Caenorhabditis elegans: one gene and its partners. The protein of the gene in region 1 purifies or fractionates together with the protein of each later gene. This does not show direct contact. Each region holds a gene or a part of one and is shown in the gene's direction. Other genes may lie near its edges. The genes, in order: let-526, nhr-8, spt-16 and B0205.9.

Region 1 (4,657 bases):
AAAATGCTTTATTCAATATTTAAATAGTCGAGGAAATTCGAAGAAATAATATATTTTCTCACTCAAATTCTGTAAAAACGAGCGAAATTCGAAATTTTTGCGATACTATTCAGTTGATTCGCTCATCTAACAATTATATACCATACACTTTTCACATTTCAAATAACTTGTTTCCTATTTTTCGAAAAATCATTAAAATTATAGTTTCCCGCTGAAATATTCGAATAAAACAAATTTGTTGAATGTAAAAAAATTGAATAGAGGAATTTTAAGTTCAGTCAAAAATTATATTTTGTATAGAAACCAAAAATTTATATAAAAATCTAACGTTAAAAAAATTTTTGAAATAAATGTTCGAATACTAAATTCGCTGTACCTTAAAATTAAGTTTAAAATTCATTTCGAAAAAATAAAAAATTTTAAGTTAGAAAAAAAGCTGTATAACATTTTATATTTCAATCGAACATTTTCTTTACTTTTTTAAAAATAGAATGTTCAAAAACTATTCAAATCCGGTATACCTAAAAATGAATAAATAATTATTAATATGGAAGTCATACGGTAGTTTCCTAGCAACTCTATTAAGCTCTTTCAATTTCTAAAATCAAATCAAAAAGTGCCACCCAAAAAATCATAGACGAAACGCAGAGTGATAAACAAAAAGTTTTTCTTTCTTTCTTCATCATTTCTTTTTTTTTCCTTTCCGTTCATTTTCCCACACCATAAGCATTGTGTGTCTGTTTCAAGTTCATATTCATTTTTCTTTCTTCCGCCTCTGCGTCTCTTCACTGTCTTGTGATCACTCATCACCAGGGTCGTTCTCGTTTTTTTGTTGTTGTTCAGCCTCCCCTTTTGTATTTTTGTTGCGCCGTATTATGACTATGTTTGATAATAAGAGGTTCATGGTTATGATCATCAATTGGGTGATAGAGAATAGTAGGTGATAAGAGTTCTCTATTTCAGGAAGTACAGTGCTCCATCAATTTTGATCCCAGAACCGCCAATTTTGAATTTTCACTTAAATTCTCAGAATTATTGATTTTATTTTCAAAAAAAAGACGGCCTTTAGAAGTTAAATATAATCCAAATATAGAAATATCTGAAATTTTAACATTTTATTTTCAAATATGAGGCGTAAAAAATACAAAATTATTTTTTCTCCATTTTACCAATACAAACTGCTTTGAAAGTGTTTAAAATTATAGTAATTTTCCTATAAATTTTGAGATGCATTTTTTAAGGCGCACGCACGGATTTATTAAGATGGGTCTCGGCGCGCGAAAAAGTTTATGGTAGCCATTTCAAACTTTTGTGGTTGTTTTCGTTGCATTTTTCTTTCGAATTAATTCGCTAAAAGGTAATTATTCCCTATGAAAAATACACTTTAAAAATGTCACCATAAACTTTTCAGTGAAGCAGCCAAAAAATTCAAAAAAAACTACCATAAACTTGTTCGCGCTTCGAGACCTATCTGAATTAATCAGTGCGTCTTCTAGTGAAAATACGATAGAAAAAAACTGTTTTTATCCTCGAAAGTTTTTTATTTAAATTATCATTTATCCAAACGAAACAAATATTTTCTGCAATATTTTCTTGTGTAACTTGACTTTAAATATCTAAAACCATTTTTTTTTCTTTCAGACAAAACAATCCCCTGCCGTGCTGTGTCTCTGGAACTTGTTCAGCGCACGGAAAACGAGGGCGAAGGAATTTTTCGTGGAAATTTACGGTATAAATTCAGTTAATGGTTGTGTCGACGGAAATTGTAAGTTTTTTGGAAGCTAGATTTATTTTCATTATTTTTTTTTTTTTCAGGAAGGAGAACACTGAAACAGAGAGAACATGCCAGGTGACGACAATGCAGTTGGAACGGAGACAAATGAAGATAAGGTAACTTTTTTTTTAATCTGAAATTATTTGTTGGAGAATATTTTCATTTTTTGTTTAATTTTCAGCCAACTACATCAAATGCAGTCACCGCAGAAAATCCGTCGAGAGGTGATGAGTCGCAGCAACAGCAACAACAACCGCAGCAGCAACAGAAAAGGGTAAAACCAGGACATCATCACTTCCTTCGTGTTCTTTTCTGCAACAAAATCCGAAAATCACTCATTCCTCTATGTCTCTTCATCTTCGCCTACTATTTCCTCGCTTGTCTAACCACTCGAATGAAATTGGGAGGCGGGGATGATGATGATCGAGGGAAGCAAAAAGGGGGGTAGAAAGAGAAGGTCGCTGTTGGGGCTGTTGGTGAGGGGCTGCGTTTGAATACTTTTTCTCTCCGTCTCGATTCGCTTGTGACTAGGCCATCTGTCTCCCCCTTTCGTTTAGTTGTCAAAGAAGCGCTGTGTCTCTCCGATTTGCACGCTCTATGGTTAGTTGTCTAAGCAGGCTATGGCCTTCGCGAAGCGGGTGTCTCCACTTTTCTAGTACTATCTCGCCGTCTGATCTGTATGGAATCTCTGCGATACGCACACTCTATGCGATTCGGTTTGCGGAGAGAATGGACGGCGGGACGCGGGGTCGCAGTCGTCGCTCTTTCTCTTCTCTACATTCTATACACACACACAGCGCAATTTCACTGCGGACTCTCAACTTGTAGAACTATTTCCACCGTGTCTCCTATCGTTCGGTTTTCAAAAAGACGAAGGCGACGCAAGCCGCATGACGGACGGACACACACACACTGGAGGGAGGGTAGGGGGTAAAAATGAACGAACGGGGCGCGAAAAAAGACGGAAGGGACGAAAATAACATGTAAAAGAATAGAGAGTTTAGAGACAGAAGCCATCATCACATAGTGTAGTTCATTTTTAATTACAATGGTTTGAACATATTATATCATGTTCAATAAGCAATAATAATGATAATTGTTGAATAGCAACTTTTCGAACATTTTTCCATAGATTCTAAATACCAATTTATAACATTAATATAATGTTTTTGAATATTATCTAGAAGATGCCACCAATGTATAGGTTACATAATCATCCAAAAATTCTAAGAATTTCGTTTGAAGTTTTCTTTGTTAGTGATGAATAGGGAAAAATGATTTCAAAAAAGTTTGAAAAATCTGATAATAGATAATATTTAGTACGAAAAATTTCACTAGGATTATTGCCACCAGACATAGTTTCCAGATCTACAAATGGATTCAGATTCAGATAGTGAGATTGGAAAATCAGCCATCCAATTTGACAGCTCAACTTACAAACCTACGAATAAAATGTGGAGAAGTGAAAAGAAACACAGGCATTGCACGAAAAATCGGGAAAGACTGAAAAAGGAGACCTCTCCTTTGCCTTCTCCTTTTTTCGTTTTTTTTTCCTTTTTTATGTGCTTGCTTCCCATCGTCAAGCACATACGCACACATACAAAGAGACACTACACGTCTTGATTGTGTTTTGAGAAGCACGGGACGCCGTCGCTGATGACGTTGTACTCATATCCGTATTAGTCGTTGCACTATTTTCAGTGCATAGAACGTAGAAGTAGGTTGCACATCTGTCAATAAGCATATTTCACTTTGCCAACTAATTCTCTTCACTCTCACTCTCAGAAGCGGAAAATAGTGAAAGACCGACGATCACATCGGAAACGAAACATTCGTGACGTCATTTTGGTTTCTGTCTCGGAGAGGAGTCCCTTTCGATTCGGTGTCCAGTCTCGTTCCCCCTCTCTCCGACGATTGGAGGAGAAAAATGAAAAGGGGAGGCCTGGGAAAGTGACGAGTGACCGAAGATTACAAGATACACATGATGATGAAAAGTTGAAGAAGGAGGCATATGAAATAAACAAGCCCATCACTCTCACTCGTTCCGATGGAATGAAATAAGAGACGGAAATGCCGATTGGAGAAATAGACGGCACGTGGAAACTGAATAGTGATTAATATGCTACGTCTCACACTCTCTCGGACTCGTCTCACATTTATTTGTTTGTTTTTGTAATGACCGATGATGATGACGAGTCTCTCCGGTCGGCTGTACTTGGATGGCAGGAGAGATTGTTTATTGGTTAGAGTTAGAGGCATGCAGAAAATAGCTTTAAAATTTGGAAATTGGCGACTTTAGAATGAATAAAGTGACATTAGAGAAGATGAGTCATTATTTATAGACTATCACTAGATATATATAATTCCCTAGGGATTTGAAAAGTTGAGTATAGTATGATATAAATGTGTACCCTATCATTACTCACTGATATATAAACTCCACGAGATTCTACTTTCTGATCCCTAATACATTTGAATATCACACGGGTTTGGTGAAATCTACGTTATTCTTATTCCGTCTCCATCCTGAGCCCCTTTTCTCCATAATACTATAATCACCTCTATGCGCTCGTGCACTTTGACGAATCCGTCTAAATGCATATTTCTGATGAAAATCTTTGAGGGAAAATAGCCCACCACGCGGAGAATATATAGACTAATCCGGTCCTGTGCATGCATGTTCATAATCTGCGATCTCATGACTGCTACACATACTCTATTATTCGAGTCGACCGATTTTTTTAGGTTAGTGGAGAAGCATTCTAGCATAATATTCTAATTGGAATGTGATAAGGGAGCTTGCTAATGAGATATGGGATGTTGACAGGAGAAACGAAATGTGTTTGCTGAACTGAATAGCGGATAAAATGTGACAATATGAGG
Region 2 (5,542 bases), on another chromosome or scaffold:
CAGTGACGAACTATAAATAGGTAGATTAAAGCTGGATTGATTTATTAAATTGTATAAAATGTTGAAAAGAATAGATACATCTATTTTAGAAATAAATAAAAGGGAATGTAGACTTTCGCGAATAAAATGGATCTCAGTATACATGAACCATTCCGTAGAAGAATACCCAGAGCAGAACGAAAGTGAGAAGACCATTTCCGTGCGACCAAGTGAATGAGTTTCTTTCCGGAAAGTAGCTCAACCAGTTTCCTTGTGATTTCACGTTCCATATAACGGCCTGGATTCCAACAGAAATGAAATAGAGAATGAAGCCTTGAAAACCGGTAAGTCCGAGAATTCCTGTAAAAGAAGGATTTTTTAAATGATTTTTTTTGAAAATTACCTGCTGCCATACCGGCGGCGCACGACTGACACGTTCTTCCAAACTCGAGAGCTTCGACGTTGTTGGTTATCGCTGCCGTGCTGAAGAAATATATACATGATTATTGAATTCATGATTTTTACTTCGACTCACTTGTAACACTCATCGTTCTTCTTTTCTGCTTTTGACGATTTATCGGACATTTGAAAATCTGAAATTACAAATAACACTAATAATCAAAAAAGAACATGTTCTAGAACAACATAAAATTATTTAAAATTGAATAAAACTGGATTGCAAAGGGAATTTAAGAATTAAATAGAATAAATTAATAAATTTGTCTCTGAGAAATCTGTGCATTCTGACGTGACAGTGTATCAGTCCTGGGGAGCGCACTTGCAATATTCTTTTTTTAGCTAATTTTTTTTCTTTAAAAATATTGCATTTGCCTCGCTTTTATACTGAATCGCTTTTATAAATATATTTTTCTGCTTAAAATATTATTTTTATAAATTTCAGACATGCTTCGAAGTATACAACATGTCGAAGCCCTCAGCAGTCGTCAAATTTCGACAACATCGATGCTTCTCAAGAACAGAGCGGGTAAAACCAAGGTTTGTTGATCTTTCAATTATTTTCCCATTTATATTTTGCAATTTCCGTCTACATCAAATAGAACACAACTTCTTACATACGAAATGGCTCAAAAACCACATCATATTGGCGTGCGAAAATCGTGGCTCACATGGCATTCACAGAATCTCGAAGGTTTGTTCCAAAACTGAATTACGATTTAACAATTTTTAAAATTTGTTTTTAGAATTCCGTCAATCTCAACCACTGGTTGTTGCACAAGATGAAGTTGTTCGTCGGTTCATTCGAGGATTTTTCCCACAAAATTTAGTCGTTAGTGGAAATGAGGTAATAACTTATCAAAAAAATTTTAAAATTCAGTATAGTATCTATTTCTCTTATCCAAGTTTGCAAAACTTCACATTTTTCCAGATTGTAATCAAACGACGAGGAAACGTACTGATCGTTGCCGGATTCCTTCAATATTCGCGTCGACTCGATATTCGAAGAATCTACTGGATGTTCGGGTTTGCAGAAGAATTTCTTTCCATTCTTCTGAAACAACCAGTGAAGCTAGAAATGGCATTTGTGGAATCCGAAGAAGATGTAGCATACAACTATATCTAAAACTTTCATCTTTGTTATAGAACCGAAATACCGTAGTTTTATTTTACTTCTTTAATTGTTTCTGTTGTGTTCCAAAAAACAAAATAAATCTGAATTTTGGCATTTGGATTCTGGATTTTGGTCCCTGAAAAATATACGAGAGTCAACGATAAGACTTCATAAAATTATCAATCAGCGCATTGGTTTGACAAAAATCAATAAATATTTGTGCTCACTTCGCACACTGATAAGCAAACCCCATAGTCTTTCATACAAACTATTGCGCCCTTTCAATCGTCCTTTTTAACTATACGTGAATCACAGTTAACTATGCGTCGCTCATATAATCACTGATTATTATTCGTATCTTATTCCACTTGTGGTGTGACTTATCTGCAAAACCTAACAACATTTTAATCACTAAAACAAAAATTTCGTCATTCCATGCCTTCGTCTTCTCCATCGATGGACGAGTCTCGAAGGTCTGCTGTTCCACCAAAAGAGCCTGCTGGCAGAATTTGCACAGTTAGTTTTGATATTATTTAGAATATAATCACTTTATTGAAGAGCCTCTTGACGCTGGTTTAAAAGTTGAAAAAACCATCAGAAAGTTGTAATTTTATTTTGGAAACGGCGTGAGATTTTTCGATTTTTGCTTAAAAAATACGGTATCCGGTCTCGCCAAGACAAGTCTTTAAGGAGTACTGTAATTTCAAACTTTAGAAGAACATGCATATTTAACGTGAAAAACTAAAATAAAACACATAAATGTTTTTAAAAAAGTATTAATAGCTATGAATTATCAATGAAAATTCCACAGCTTGAAATTACAGTAATCTTCAAATGCACACAGCTTTTTGTACTGAACAAAGATTGTCGTGCCGAGACCTGGTACCGTATTTTTGACCTAAAAATCAAAAAGAAAATTCCGTTTGGATACATATCGTCTTTTCCAAAACGTAAGATGAGTTCCATAGTGGATTACTACAAATCTGGTGGTATTTTTGTAAAAATATAATAGAAAAACGTTTTTTCATTTATACTTCTAAACCAACAATTGTAATTAATTTTAGGTTTGCTCCGACCGTGCAAATGGATACAATTTTGGTGTACTCACTTGCGAATCTTGTAAGGCGTTTTTCAGGCGAAATGCTTCAAAGCATAAGGTTTTAAAAAAAAAAGCATACTCAAGTTGTTAAAAATTTTGTGTTAAGGAAATTAAATGTCCTTTCTCTGATTCTTGTCAAATCACATCAGCATCTCGCAAGTTTTGCCAAGCTTGTCGATTGAATAAATGTTTTGCTGTTGGAATGAACAGTGAATGGTTAAATGATTTGAAACCGAAGAGTTCAATTGTTTCTGGAAAATTCAAAAGAAAGAAGCCTGATATGAAGAATAACTTGAAAGTGGAAGTAGATGATACTGAAGAAGATTTGGAAAATGATGATGAAGAACAAATTAGTGTCCCCAAAGCATTACTTGAAAAGCTTATCAATAAAGCTAATGAGTAAGTTTCAATGAAATTATCCGGAAATAATAAACTACTGTTTCAACAAATTTACTATAATATAACGGGAAAATAACAAAAAAACGCCTTTACCCCAGAATGCAAAAACAGTAGCCGCGCACGTATGTAGGCATGAAGAAGTGCCTACCATGGCAGCCTTAGCACGTTCTCACATTTATTCAATTGAATCTATTTAATTAAAGTGGTCTCTCGATAACCTGTGATATGTACCGTATGAGAAAGTACAATTATCTAATCAGTAGATCACACAAGACCACAAAACTACGTCACTCTAGTAACAGACAATCGTACATTGAACTTTCAGAAAATCAAAAGACAGATGTACATGCAAATGCCAGTGTGGATTCTATCCAATTACTCAAAGACTCACCGCATACGAACCAAAGGATACAACAGCTGTGGTTAGTAGAGTTTAAAATACAAGAAAATCAATTATTTTATATTCAGAACAGTCCACAAGATATATCATTCTCCCATCATCTTCATCATTCGGATTCGTTTTATTCTTCATCTACTTCAACTCTTTCTCCAATGTCGGTTATCAGTTGTGCTCCATCTTCACATGATTCCAGTGGTTACAATACTTCTCAACTTGTTACTCAATCTCCAACCAACTACACAGTTTCTCCGGCGTCTATACCGAGCTCAATAACTGGTATGTTTTTAGGAGCAGCTCGTGAAGCTGAACGCTAGAACCTCACTGTCAAAAATGTTTGACAACAAGCCAGACATAACTCATCTAGAAGGCTATCACTACGAATTCAAAGTAGGCAGAAGAGTTACGTCCGCCTTCCGAGCCGACAAGAAAACACTTTTATTAATACGTACTGAAGTAAAGAATATACGTCTAAAATTTAGAACTGTCTCCACAAATGCCATCGCAATATCCTCCAATGTTATCACCATTTCAATTTGGTGTTATGGCCCAAATGGCTGCGCCAGCCAACTTTTTGAATTTTCCTCCAATGCCTGAAAGAACATGGACTCCAATTCAAGCAGTGTCCACAGTTCCAGTAACTGAAACTCTACCTCCAAATTTGCTAGAACAAATTCATTCAAGTACTGTTTCATGTCATCCATAAGTTTGAATTTTGCAACTTTTCAGAGATTGACAAATACATTGGAGTTTTGAATGAAGACGAGATAACTCTTTTAGAAGAACTTCATGTACAAAATGAGCCATTAAATGCTCCACTAATTCAATGGCACAATCCGAAAAGCATTGATGGAGTTTTTAGAATAATAGAAGAAGCTCTACGAAGGATTGTTAACATGGCATGCCAATTAAGTCTATTCCGAGAGCTTCACGTGGACGATAGGAAAAATCTCTTGAAAAGTGGATTTGGGGAGTTGTTGATTGTGCGGGGTCTTATGGCCTATGACAAGAGTGATAACAGCTGGAATCATTCATTTGGAGTACGAGGAAAAATGGAGGTAAAGGTGGAAGTTCTTAAGAATCCAAAACTTGAAGAACATTACAAAGCACACATGAACTTGCTTTCAACGTTTGGAGAAGATGTGAGGAATAATGAACATTTGATGCTCATTTTCAATGCAGCTGTTATATTTCATCCTCGTGAGCCAGTTTTTCAAAATTGATTCGTTTTAAAGTTATTAATTCAGATGTCTCCAACTTACGTGATAGTAAACGAGTGCACTCAACACAAGCAAAATATTTCCAGATGCTCTTGAAGTAAGTACTGTACGAGAAAAGCACGTATTGTATAACTTTTTGATTATAACATTTTTAATATTGTCCTACTTTCAGACTTCTTACATTTGAATATGGTAAATCACGTGCTGACATTGCATACAGTAATCTTCTGAATCAAGTCGTCGAGCTTCATCGTGTGAATAGGACCTTACTTCGTGTGTTTTATGGACTAGATATTGCTCAATTGGATCCTCTGATACGAGAATTATGTTCTTTTGAATAACCATTTATTAACCATGAATTATTGCACATATTGCACACTTATTAACATGAGAAAGTTTTTGAGAAAATTGCACAAAAGTCAAGGGCAGAAAGATGGAGAAAATATTACAAACAAATACACGTAGATCTGGATCGAAATCAAAATAAAAATTAATATAAAGGTATTAATTAATTACTCCTCTTTCAACCACTTTTGGCACTTGGCAACATAAGCATGAGAACGAGCACATGTTAGTGCTGGATAATAGTTCTCAATAAAGTAACAGTGCTCTTTTGCGAACTCTTCAACGGTATCAAACAAGAATTGACGTGCGAAGCTACGAAGGTTCAAGCATTGATGCTTTGTCACAACAGCTCTCTTTTTGTTTTTCTTGACACGTTGAGCACGTGTAACTGGAGCTTCAGTGGTGGTGGTGGTTGTTACATCTTCTTCTTCATCTTCAACTAACTCTTCTGCTTCAATAACATCATCTTCCTCTTCCTGTTCCACGGCAGCTGTCACAACTTCTTCCTCTTCTTCTTCTGGTGTAGTTGTTGG
Region 3 (6,160 bases), 5.5 Mb from region 1:
AATTTGTCTTGAGTTTGAACAAAGTCTGAAAAATCCTTACAAATAGTTCGCTGGTCTTTGTATATGGATTATCAGTCTCTCCGTATACAAAAGCAAGTGATTTGATCGAATCTAGACCATCGGCTCCCTTCTCCTGTAAAATATTTGTAAAAAAGTAAAAACTATCAAAAACAGATCCAATGAAAATAAAATGGAACTCGGTAATTTTCAAACTCAATCTCACAATTTTTCGATGGAAAACATTTTAAAAATATAGCAATTCTACAGCTTTTATGGCAAAAAAATAGGGAAAAAATTAGAATTCAAAAATGTTCGTCGACAACAACGCAAAACCACAATCGTGTCGAGACCCATCCGAGTAAGCCGATGTCCCTTTAACCAACCCTATCGCGGTTTTTTTTTAAATTTTTAAAATTTCTTCAAATATTTCGTCCGTTTCTCTTGTGGACCGCTGTTAAAATAGTTAAATACTTTATTTTTCAGAAAACAGATAATTTATACCAAATTGACAGATGTAGAGCTAAACTCCTCAAAATTTTCTAAAGTTCTTATAATTTTACTGTTGTCTGCGTTTCAAGGCCTGAAATATTGTAGGCACTATCGTAGGATTACAACCGGATTTGTAACTTTGATTATCTGAAAAGGAAAAATATTAAACTTTTCTTTCAGGATTTTTCGCAATTGCCGGCGTAATAATTGCTAAAAGTCGACTTTAACTTCAATATATTTTAGCATTCCGAATCTGAAACTAGTTCCCAAATGCCATCTCTCCTTATCATTATAGTCTTCTTGCTGGTATTCTTGGAAATTGGATTTTTCCCTGTAATGTGTGGATGTTGGATGGATGTTTGTACACTTCCATTATTCAATATAACATTATCACAAAGAATTGCAACATTTGCCACAGCTCCATTCATGTCAATATTCCTTCATTGGATGGTTGGAATGATTTATGTATTTTATTCAGCGTCATTTGTGATTCTTCTTCGAGAAATCCTTCGTCCTGGTGTACTATGGTTTATGAGAAATCTCAACGATCCCGACTTTAATCCAATTCAAGAAATAATTGATCTACCGTTCACGCGGCATTTCCGAAGACTTGTTGTATCTACAACTCTGTTCTTTTCAACGATTCTTCTGACATCCTACATCCCGCTCAACATAATCTCATCACTTATTCCACATCTTCTACCCTACAGAAACTCCACTTTCTGAACTCTCGCTGGAATTGATGTTTCTTCAAGAATTCATCACAATTGTGTACTCTCACATGGCCCCTCCGTAAATAACATGGCGGGAATATTGCATGCGGAGTGGTTGCGAAAGTGCGTGCGGCTGTTGCGTTCCTTGACCACGCCCAACTTCATTCCATTCTTTTTCGCGCGCAATCCTCACTTTCAGCTCTAATTTTTCAGAGTTTACAGTTCTTCAGTGAAAAAATATTTGTCTCGTCAAAACGTTTTTTTCAAAATTTTAAAATTGTGTCAAAAAAAATTAATTTTTTCGCAAATTTCAAACTTTTAGCCTATCCGAATCCGTTGCTGGTCACTTTGTTTACGTTATCGATTTTTGCTTCCATCTCTCAATCCTCGTGACTTTAACACAATTTCTAACTTTCAGGGGAGAAATGTCTGGAAAACGGGCAGTTCTCAACAAGGATCTCTTTTTCCAGAGAGCGGAGAGGCTTTATGAGCACTGGGTTTGTGACTTTCAGGACTTTACGAATTTTTAATCAAATATTTTACAGGAGAAGGGAGCCGATGGTCTAGATTCGATCAAATCACTTGCTTTTGTATACGGAGAGACTGATAATCCATATACAAAGACCAGCGCACTATTTGTAAGGATTTTTCAGAATTTGTTCAAACTCAAGACAAATTTTTATTTCAGACCTGGCTGTTTGGCCACGAAATCGCTGACACAGTCCTGTTGCTTCTCAAAGATCACATTTACATTCTCGGAAGTAATCGCAAAGTCGAATTCTTCGGATCAGTCACTGGAGACAATCAGAGCTCAGGAAAAGTGCCAACAGTCAGCACACTGCTCCGCGATAAAACCGACAAAGACGCTGGAAACTTTGAAAAGCTCATCGATCACATCAAAAGTGCCGGCGGAGATGTTGGAAATTTCGTCAAAGAGAAATTCAGCTCGGAATTCGTCAGTTCGTGGAATAAGGCGCTCGAGGAAGGCGGTGTCAATAAGAATGACGTCACTCTCGCGTTTACTCATCTGTTCGCAGTGAAAGACGATAAGGAGATGGATTTGATTCGAAAATCAGCACAAGCTACAACCGCATCATGGACAGCTGCAAGAGCTCGCTACGTAGAGATCATTGATCAAGAAAAGGTGCTTATCGTTCTGAAAATAGTTGAACCAGGAGTCCGCTGCAAGCATTTCTACATAATTAGCCAGTTTTTGGTGATAGAATATAATGAAGCAGTTGATGTATCTGAAAATAGCTTTTAATTCAATTGAAAAAGCGGAAGAACTGCTCAAAATCAATCTGAAAGTTGGAAATCACCCGAAAATTAAACTTTCATGCAGTTTTTGAGCGTTCTTCCAGTTGTTTCAATTAAATGTAAAGCTATTTTTAGATGACTAAACTGTTTTTCCTTTTATCTATCACCAATAACTGGCTCATTTTTTAGTACTCCTGGGAAAACCACTGTTTTAATCCCGAGAAAATAATTCTTTTTTATTTTTGCAGCGAGTCCGTCACTCTGTTCTCTCCAATGAGTTTGCCGCCTTCATGAAGGATTCAAAAGTACAACAGGCACTGGCCAAGTATGAAGCCGACACATGCTATGATCCAATCGTAATGTCCGGTGGAAATTACTCGTTCAAATGGAATCATGAAAGCTCGGAATCTCATCTTCACAGCCAGTTTGGAACGATCATCACTTCGTTCGGAGCTCGTTTATCAGAATATTGCACAAATTTGACGCGAACTATGCTCATCTTCCCATCTTCTGAACTTGAGACTGCCTATGAAGCGATTCTTGCCGCCGAGCTGGCAGTAATTGCTGCTCTGAAGCCAGGAGCCAAGCTGAGCGATGTTTATAAAATTGGAATCGATACATTGACGGAGAAAAGTCCAAAACTTGCTGAAACTCTGAACAAGAAAGAGCTTGGATTTGCGACTGGAATCGAATTCCGTGAGAGTCGTCTTGCTATCAGTGCGAAGTGTGACGAGGTTGTCAAAGCAGGAATGGTCTTCATCGTTTATATTGGTGTCGATAGTATTCCAAACAAAAATAAAGGAGAAAAAGGAAAACCCGCCGCAATTGCAATCTCGGATACAATTTTGGTTAAAGAAGAAGGCGATAACGAGATTCTCACCGAAAAAGCCAAATCACGCCTGAAGTCCAACGTCATCAAATTCAAAGAGGAGCAGGAAAACCGTGAAGCTGAAAAGGACAATGATCAGAAGAAAATGCTCGGAAGAGGTCAGAGAAGTGTCGTTCTAACTGATCAGACGAGAAATAAGACGACAAACGAAGAGTTACGTAAGGAACGTCAGAAAGAGCTCGGAGTTCAGTTGAATGAGCTCGCAAAAGCTCGTCTTTCAAAGCAAGGCGGTGGGACCGATGAGAAAAAGTCGAAGAAATCGAATGTGTCATATAAAACCGAAGAGAGATTCCCACAAGATGCAGACGTTCAGAAGATGTTGATTTTCGTGGATCGCAAGTATGATTCTGTGGTTGTTCCAATATTTGGAATTCCTGTCCCATTCCATATCTCCATGATAAAGAATTGTTCGCAATCAGTTGAAGGAGATTTCACATATCTTCGAATCAACTTTGCCACTCCAGGATCTCAAGTTGGAAAGGATAGTGGGCAATTCCCACATCCACTTGCACACTATATGAAGGAGCTCACGTTCCGTGCGAGTAACATCAAGGATCATCACAGTGATTCGACTGCGCCGAGCCATAATTTGAGCACCGCATTCCGACTCATCAAGGAAATGCAGAAGAGATTCAAGACTGAAGAGGCTGAAGAGCGGGAGAAGGAAGGAGCTGTGAAGCAGGACAAATTGATTTTGAGCCAGAACAAATTGAATCCGAAGCTCAAGGATCTTCTGATTCGTCCGAATATTATTCAAAAGCGTATCACTGGATCGTTGGAGGCCCACACTAATGGATTTAGGTACAGTTTTGAAGGAAAACGAATGTTTCTGAACTCAAAAATTGCCAAATTTGAAAACTTTCGTTTCGAAATTATGCCGTTTCGGATCAGTTTTAGTCTATTTAAACAAAAAAAATCTAAAAGCTCAAAATTTCCTATTTTTATTTCAATGATTTTCCAGATACACATCTCTTCGTGGTGATCGTATTGATGTTCTCTACAACAACATCAAACATGCATTCTTCCAACCGTGCGACAATGAAATGATCATCCTTCTGCACTTCCATCTCAAGAATCCAGTATTGTGGGGAAAGAAGAAGTATAAGGATGTTCAATTCTACACAGAAGTCGGAGAAATCACTACGGATCTTGGAAAGTATCATCATATGCAAGATCGTGATGATATGCAGAGTGAACAGCAAGAACGTGAAATGCGTCGTCGTCTCAATGCTGCATTTAATAGTTTCTGCGAGAAGGTGTCTCGTCTCACAAATGATCAATTTGAATTCGATTCTCCGTTCGCTGGACTCGGATTCTTTGGAGTTCCGTATCGTTCGGCTACCACACTCAAACCAACTGCATCGTGCCTTGTTAATCTCACCGAATGGGTATGTTTTTTGAATTTTATTCCTGAATTCTTTTATATTTTATTTATTTTCAGCCTACATTCATCGTCACACTCTCCGAAGTTGAACTTGTCCACTTTGAACGTGTCTCTCTTCAACTCAAGAATTTCGATATGGTCTTCATCTTCAAAGATTACAAGATCAAACCTCAGATGGTCGCCCAAATCCCGATGAGCAGCATCGATAAGATAAAAGAATGGCTTCATACTTGTGATATTTGGTACAGTGAAGGAATTCAATCACTGAATTGGGCAAAAGTTATGAAGACAATCACTGATGATCTTGAAGCATTCTTTGAAGAAGGTGGATGGAGTTTCCTTAATGTTGAATCTGATAATGAAGAGGCAATGGATGATTCTGATGATTCGGATGCTTATGATCCTGAAGAAGAAGATGCATCTGCTGGATCAGGAAGTGAAAGTGATGAAGATGAAAGTGAAGGTGAAGAGACTGAATCCGATGATGATGATGAAGGATCGTTGGATTCCGATGAATCAGAAGGAAAAGATTGGTCAGATTTGGAGGAAGAAGCAGCGAATGCTGATAAGAGACGTGAAGTCGAAGAACCTTCACGTGATCGTGATCGTAAGAGACCACATTCGAGCAAGTCTGGACCATCGCACAAACGCAGAAAGTAAATCCTGTTTGTATAATTTCCTCCGTTTTATTCTTTTGTTTTGTTTTTCAACTATTTAAATCCCCAAGAATTTTCTTCGCATCTCAATCAATCAATCCGTCCCGTTACACCCCCCATTTTACAACAATTTTACAACTAAAATCTGTCAATCCCCTTATTTTTCTTTCCCACTCAAAATTTGAGTCGATGCTAAAATATTTTTGATTTCAAAATCAATTAATGTCAAATGAAGTTTCATGGAGGCACGTTTTTACATAATTTTGTCGGTTTTCTGAAAATGTTTCCGTTTCTACTTTTTCTGATTAATATTACAACAACAAAATTATACAGATTTCTAAAAAGGAAAAGTTTTGCCAAATGGGTCTCGCCGCGCAGACGACAGGTTACTGTAGCTCGTGTTGATCTTCGAGCCGCTTTAGAATATTATGCAAAAGCGTCATAGACACGAGTTACCGTAGTCCTCGTGGCGAGACCCATTTGGCGAAAAGTTTTAATTTTAGACGTCTGTGTAATAAGCAGTTGCTTGAAACATGAAGATCGTATGCAGAGGGTGGAGCATTGGAATGCTCTTGACATGCCACGTGTCTTGCACTTAGCCCTCTGATTGCGGTGGATTTGTGGGTTCGGTGAGTGGGAATTTTGCTGAAAATAATTTTTTAATTGAATAAACTCGCTAATTTCCGATTTACAGATGCCGAAACCACCTGGCCCAGTGGCAAAACGGTTAAAACTGAAGGATGATTCAGTTTCGGGTTCCGATTCAGCATCT
Region 4 (4,761 bases), 5.4 Mb from region 1:
TCTCATAAATACGGCTTTCGGGGCCTGTAAAAAATTTGTCTTACTAGTTAGAAAAATATTGTCAACAGAAAAAATGTTCACAATGTCACACTGAACATTTTGTTGGTTGACAACTTTTTTGTAACTTTCATAGAAGCGGAGATAGGAGCATCCAAAGTGTGAGGGCGCAGTAGAGCGGGTACTGTATCAAAGCACCCAATCTTCTACATCAAAAATCATCTTTTCAACATGGACGGATTTTTATGTATAATAGGTCAAAATGTGCGTATTAAAAATTGGAACAATCGTATTTTCTTAACTTTTTCAGTCCAAGCCAAATATTTTCTGAAAATTGCGAAAAACCTAAAAATTTGGTCATTTTAGTACTGTAGTCAACCTTCTAGATTTAATTTCATCTTACAACATTGACCAATTTTTATGCGTGATATGTCAAAATGTGCGTATTAAAAATTAGAACAATCGTATTTTTTCCGATTTTTGAGTCCAAGCCAAGTATTTCCTGAAAATTGCGAAAAACCTGAAAATTTGGTCATTTTAGTACTGTAGTCAACCTTCTAGATTTAATTTCATCTTTCAACATTGACCAATTTTTATGTGTGATATGTCAAAATGTGCGTATTAAAAAATAGAACAATCGTATTTTTTCCGATTTTTGAAATTTTTCATTTTACGGTCACTAGCTTCCGGAAAGTGCTGAAATTTTGAGCTGTAAATGTTTGATGTCAAAAAAAGTTTCTCTCATAACTTATTTATTGGGGTTTTTTTGTATTAACTCATTAATTGGGAATATATTGAATACATTTTACAAAAAAAATTTGGGAAAAAATCTTAAACTTGCTCGTTTTAGAGGGGAATGTGTAATATTATGTTCACTCTCTTCACTTATTTCAATGACACAACTATTCTGTGAAATTTATGCCAGACTGTAGAGGACAGTACTCTTTATCCGTTCCAATTGTTTCTTTTCAGAAATATGCATTTTCCTTTCTTCCCGACTCCTTCTAAGTGAGGTGGTTGAGCGCGCACTCTCGCCATGCTGTGGAGGTGAGAGACGCAGAGACCGCCTTTTTCTCTGCGCTCTCTCTGCGCATTTCTCGTGGTGGAGGCCGTGAGTGAGGCTGTCCCATCGATCCACTGCGCACAAAAATGTCGGGAAAATACTTTTCTTTTTAATTTGTGATGTTTTTGAATGCAATTTGCTTCTTTCTCCACTTAACTCAATAAATTTTTAGAATCTCGATAAAATATCAATTTTATAAATTACCATGAGAAAGCTATTTGAAAAATTATTAACAAATTTCACGAAAATCGACACTGAAAAATCAAAAAAACAATTATTCGAATTGCCCTGTGACGTCACAAATTATTAAAAAGTATTTTTTCGCCATTTCGTGCGCAGCGGAGAGATGGGACAACCTGACACCGCGTGATTTCATCGATTATATTTGTCTTCTTAATGCTTTTTTTTATAAAAGTGAATAAATCCCGTAATTTAACGATTTATTCGTTTTTTTCAAAAGTATTTAAAATATCTAATACCCTATTGTGCTCCATTTCAGGTTAACCAAACATGTCATACGACGCCAATCTCACGAAATACATGGATTTCCTCGTGAAAAAGACAAAGAATGCTGCTGAGCCAACGACGTTTAAAGAAATATTCGATGAATATAGCCGACTAGACCCTGATCGGAGTACATATTCAATGTGCTATGACAAGTTAGAGCTACATCTCACTGTTTGTATTTTAAAAATTTAAATTTAGATTTCATCATAGGCTTGCACCAATAATGAATGAATTGAACACCTACAGTATCAGGGAAAGAGTTCGAGTAATGCTCACAATGGGTGGAAAAGTTTCCAAAGATTTCCTAACGACGTAGGTTTTAAGAGTGCTGTCGGAAATGTAAAAAGGATAAAGAGAAAGACAATTTGCAGAATTGAAAAGCTGGGAACTGTCCAACTCGATGAGAAGAGAAGAATCCTAAAATATGCCTCGAAGGACGGAAAATTCAAAATAGAAGGTGCACGGTCCGAATTCATGGACTTTCTTATCCAACAGACCAGAGATGCAGTTAGACCGATGACATCGACCTCAATTGCCAAGGAGTTCTGCCGTATCAAGGATCGCCAGGTTTCAGTTGATACGTTTAATAAAAAGTGAGTTTTAAAGAGTAGAGAAGGGAAGAGAAGAGGAGAAGCGCCAGTGGGGATTTTGTCTAAATATACTTATAATGACCCAAAACGACCGAATATCATAATAAAACACTTCAAAAAATTGTTGATTTTTCATAATTTCTTTTTGGCAAATTGCCAAAATTTTGAAAAAAACGAGCTTTTGAGGAAATTTAGAGAAATGTCGCATGTTTTGACCGCTACAATGTTTTAATAAAAATAATTTAAACAAAATTAAAACATAAGAAATGAATATATTTACATTTGAATATATAAAAAATAATTTTTATTTTTGTCGATTTCCAAAATTATGAGTGGCAAAAAGTGAGTAATTGCCACTTTTTGACAATGAATAAAAATTTTTCAAAATTTTTTTGAAAAGTTTTATCATGATATTTGGTCCATTTGGGATCAAAGGAGTGGTTTCTAACAATTTCCCCACTGGGGCTGCTCCACCTTTAATATCTCTTGAATGAAAATTGTTTTCCCACATTTTTCGAATTTTGAATAGTTTTTTTTCTTCAATTTTCCACAAGTTGAAGCCACTTGTAGAGCAATTTCGCTATTGATAATTCAACTATATTCTAGATTTCGTCGAAATCTGGCACCAAATATGAGTCGATGGAGCAGCTACCTACTCGGAGATCGGATTCGGATGATGTTTGTATTAAAAGGGACAGTGAGAACTGATTTTCTTGCCGAGTAAGAAACAGTTGAACTTGAAATTAAAAAAAACTTAAATGAATTTTCAGAATTGAAAAATCTGGCACCGTTCAACTGGATGACCAGCGCCGAATTGTCAGATATGCATCAAATGATGGAATGATAGAGTTGGAAGAGAAGACGTCGGGAGTGAAGAGAAGAAGGTCGACCAAATCCAGCAATACACCTACAAAAAGACGCGAAATCACTGAGAATGAGTTGTCTGACACGGATGATGTAGAAGTTATGGAAATAGTTGATGGCTACGTGGAACAGGAATCTGCATCGTTTGATTTCGAGGAATTGGTCAATCGAGAAGCGTCATACAATCTGGATCAAGGGCACCTCTACCGTGAGATTCTAGAGGCTCCACTCCTTGAAAATCGAGATTCCAAATTCAATCCTTTCAATGCAAAGAGTGGTCGGCAGGCAGAGGTTCAAAGATCTGGAACTTTTTTAAACGAATCGGAAGGTACTTCTACAAATGCACAAGAATCTTTCGTCTTCCGTGGCTTCTTGAAGCAGGAGCCTGTATTTGAGCAATTCCATATTCAAAACATGTCAAACAACCTGGTGAATCTACCCATTCCACCAGAGATTGAGGAAACCCCAGTTCAAGAAGGTCACCATGTTGAGCCATCGGGAATCACTGGATCTGACGGGATTAGACTTCACAAGTTTTTGAATTCGTTAGAACTCATGCTCACATCTCTCGAATCAGATACTCTAAACGATTTAATGCAAGAGATTGAAGAGATTCGCCGTCGAACAGATGAGGTAGTTGAAGAATCAAATTTTCCAATAAATTATCTTTTTTTTCAGATTCTTCCATCGGAGCTAGTGATTACTACCCTCCAGACATTCTTTTTGGGAATCACTCGAAAGTTTCGGCCGGAAACCTCAGCACCGAGCAAATCAGCAAAAGAGTGTCTGAGAATCTTCAAATATGCTCTCCTTTGGCTTAAAAACCCGTTGCTTTACGATCTACAAAAGAGAGTTCAGGACGAAATTGAAAATCACGAAGCGGATGGAAAGGTATTAGATTGAGTTATTAACCAATCAAAATTATATTTAAATATTCAGGTTCTCCTAATCGCTGACGTCCAGCAAGGTATTCGCAATATTCTTTTCACTGTTGTTTAATTCACCTGTACTTTTCATAATTATCCTTTTTTCTCGTGATTTCACCATGACTCTATTCACCTTTTACGGTTTCGTTTTTTTTCCAATTTTTTAAGAGCCCTCCACTGTTAATTCTACTGTTATATGACTGGTATTTTTCTCACAAATTGAACGGTTTTACGATTTATTTAAGTTTCTATCACTGAAAAATCTTTGATAATAAATCGGAAGTTAATTTTTTTTATAGAATGGATAGATCAATTGTCACAAGTGAAATACATCACATTGTTTCATTAATTTAAAATCTTTTTTCCTTTATTATAAAATCAATAAAAGAGCGGAAATAACAATCTGCATCAACATTAAGTGCGGCACAGAAATGTGGGCGGGGTTAAAAGGCAAAAGTGCGGAAATTCAAATGAAGAAATTAGCAAAATTTAACAATTCTCCAAAACCAGTGGTTTTTCAATGTTATAGAATTTTTTAAATATTAACTGTTTAAGTTCTTTAACCAGGCTGAGCGTGCTGACGTCACAATTTTTGGCAAAGAAAATCCCACATTTTTTGTAGATCAATCCAAAATGGGACTCTTTGACACGATGATCTGAATTGTATTATGTAAGAAATTAAATAGTTTTCTCATAATTTTAGGTTTCAAAAATGTATGATCTAAAATTCTAGTAAACCTTGAATTTGACTTTTTTTGGAAGATACATTGACTAGACGTTTACCGTCGTCATCCAAAACTTGTGTTTTATTCAT

The links.
Region 2: the proteins of let-526 (region 1) and nhr-8 fractionate together in Caenorhabditis elegans (co-fractionation; one large-scale study listed by BioGRID). This does not show direct contact.
Region 3: the proteins of let-526 (region 1) and spt-16 fractionate together in Caenorhabditis elegans (co-fractionation; one large-scale study listed by BioGRID). This does not show direct contact.
Region 4: the proteins of let-526 (region 1) and B0205.9 fractionate together in Caenorhabditis elegans (co-fractionation; one large-scale study listed by BioGRID). This does not show direct contact.

Annotation. Positions count from the first base shown.
Region 1 is NC_003279.8:5,310,909-5,315,565, reverse strand, and holds the start of let-526 (ARID domain-containing protein), read left to right. Parts: upstream 1-1,643; 5' UTR 1,644-1,765; intron 1,766-1,815; 5' UTR 1,816-1,842; coding exon 1,843-1,890; intron 1,891-1,955; coding exon 1,956-2,048; exon of another isoform or gene 2,049-2,049; intron 2,050-3,562; exon of another isoform or gene 3,563-3,697; intron 3,698-3,842; exon of another isoform or gene 3,843-3,956; coding exon of another isoform or gene 3,957-4,016; intron 4,017-4,657. Other genes in the region: F48C1.3 (uncharacterized protein), read right to left, coding at 960-1,099, 1,170-1,233.
Region 2 is NC_003282.8:7,709,165-7,714,706, forward strand, and holds nhr-8 (Nuclear hormone receptor family member nhr-8), read left to right. Parts: upstream 1-1,979; 5' UTR 1,980-1,984; coding exon 1,985-2,065; intron 2,066-2,613; coding exon 2,614-2,706; intron 2,707-2,754; coding exon 2,755-3,047; intron 3,048-3,372; coding exon 3,373-3,469; intron 3,470-3,515; coding exon 3,516-3,723; intron 3,724-3,926; coding exon 3,927-4,127; intron 4,128-4,173; coding exon 4,174-4,644; intron 4,645-4,691; coding exon 4,692-4,761; intron 4,762-4,836; coding exon 4,837-5,005; 3' UTR 5,006-5,034; downstream 5,035-5,542. Other genes in the region: emc-6 (ER membrane protein complex subunit 6), read right to left, coding at 134-339, 383-462, 515-564; mrps-24 (Small ribosomal subunit protein uS3m), read left to right, coding at 883-975, 1,024-1,129, 1,182-1,282, 1,367-1,561; F33D4.6 (aECM cysteine-cradle domain-containing protein), read right to left, coding at 5,177-5,542. UniProt on the Caenorhabditis elegans protein: Orphan nuclear receptor.
Region 3 is NC_003279.8:10,787,510-10,793,669, forward strand, and holds spt-16 (FACT complex subunit spt-16), read left to right. Parts: upstream 1-1,620; 5' UTR 1,621-1,627; coding exon 1,628-1,699; intron 1,700-1,747; coding exon 1,748-1,840; intron 1,841-1,890; coding exon 1,891-2,346; intron 2,347-2,707; coding exon 2,708-4,149; intron 4,150-4,309; coding exon 4,310-4,736; intron 4,737-4,789; coding exon 4,790-5,392; 3' UTR 5,393-5,643; downstream 5,644-6,160. Other genes in the region: F55A3.2 (C2H2-type domain-containing protein), read left to right, coding at 6,083-6,160. UniProt on the Caenorhabditis elegans protein: Component of the FACT complex, a general chromatin factor that acts to reorganize nucleosomes. The FACT complex is involved in multiple processes that require DNA as a template such as mRNA elongation, DNA replication and DNA repair.
Region 4 is NC_003279.8:10,719,256-10,724,016, forward strand, and holds B0205.9 (SPK domain-containing protein), read left to right. Parts: upstream 1-1,558; 5' UTR 1,559-1,570; coding exon 1,571-1,719; intron 1,720-1,765; coding exon 1,766-1,879; intron 1,880-1,938; coding exon 1,939-2,160; intron 2,161-2,763; coding exon 2,764-2,877; intron 2,878-2,927; coding exon 2,928-3,654; intron 3,655-3,699; coding exon 3,700-3,912; intron 3,913-3,960; coding exon 3,961-4,020; 3' UTR 4,021-4,241; downstream 4,242-4,761.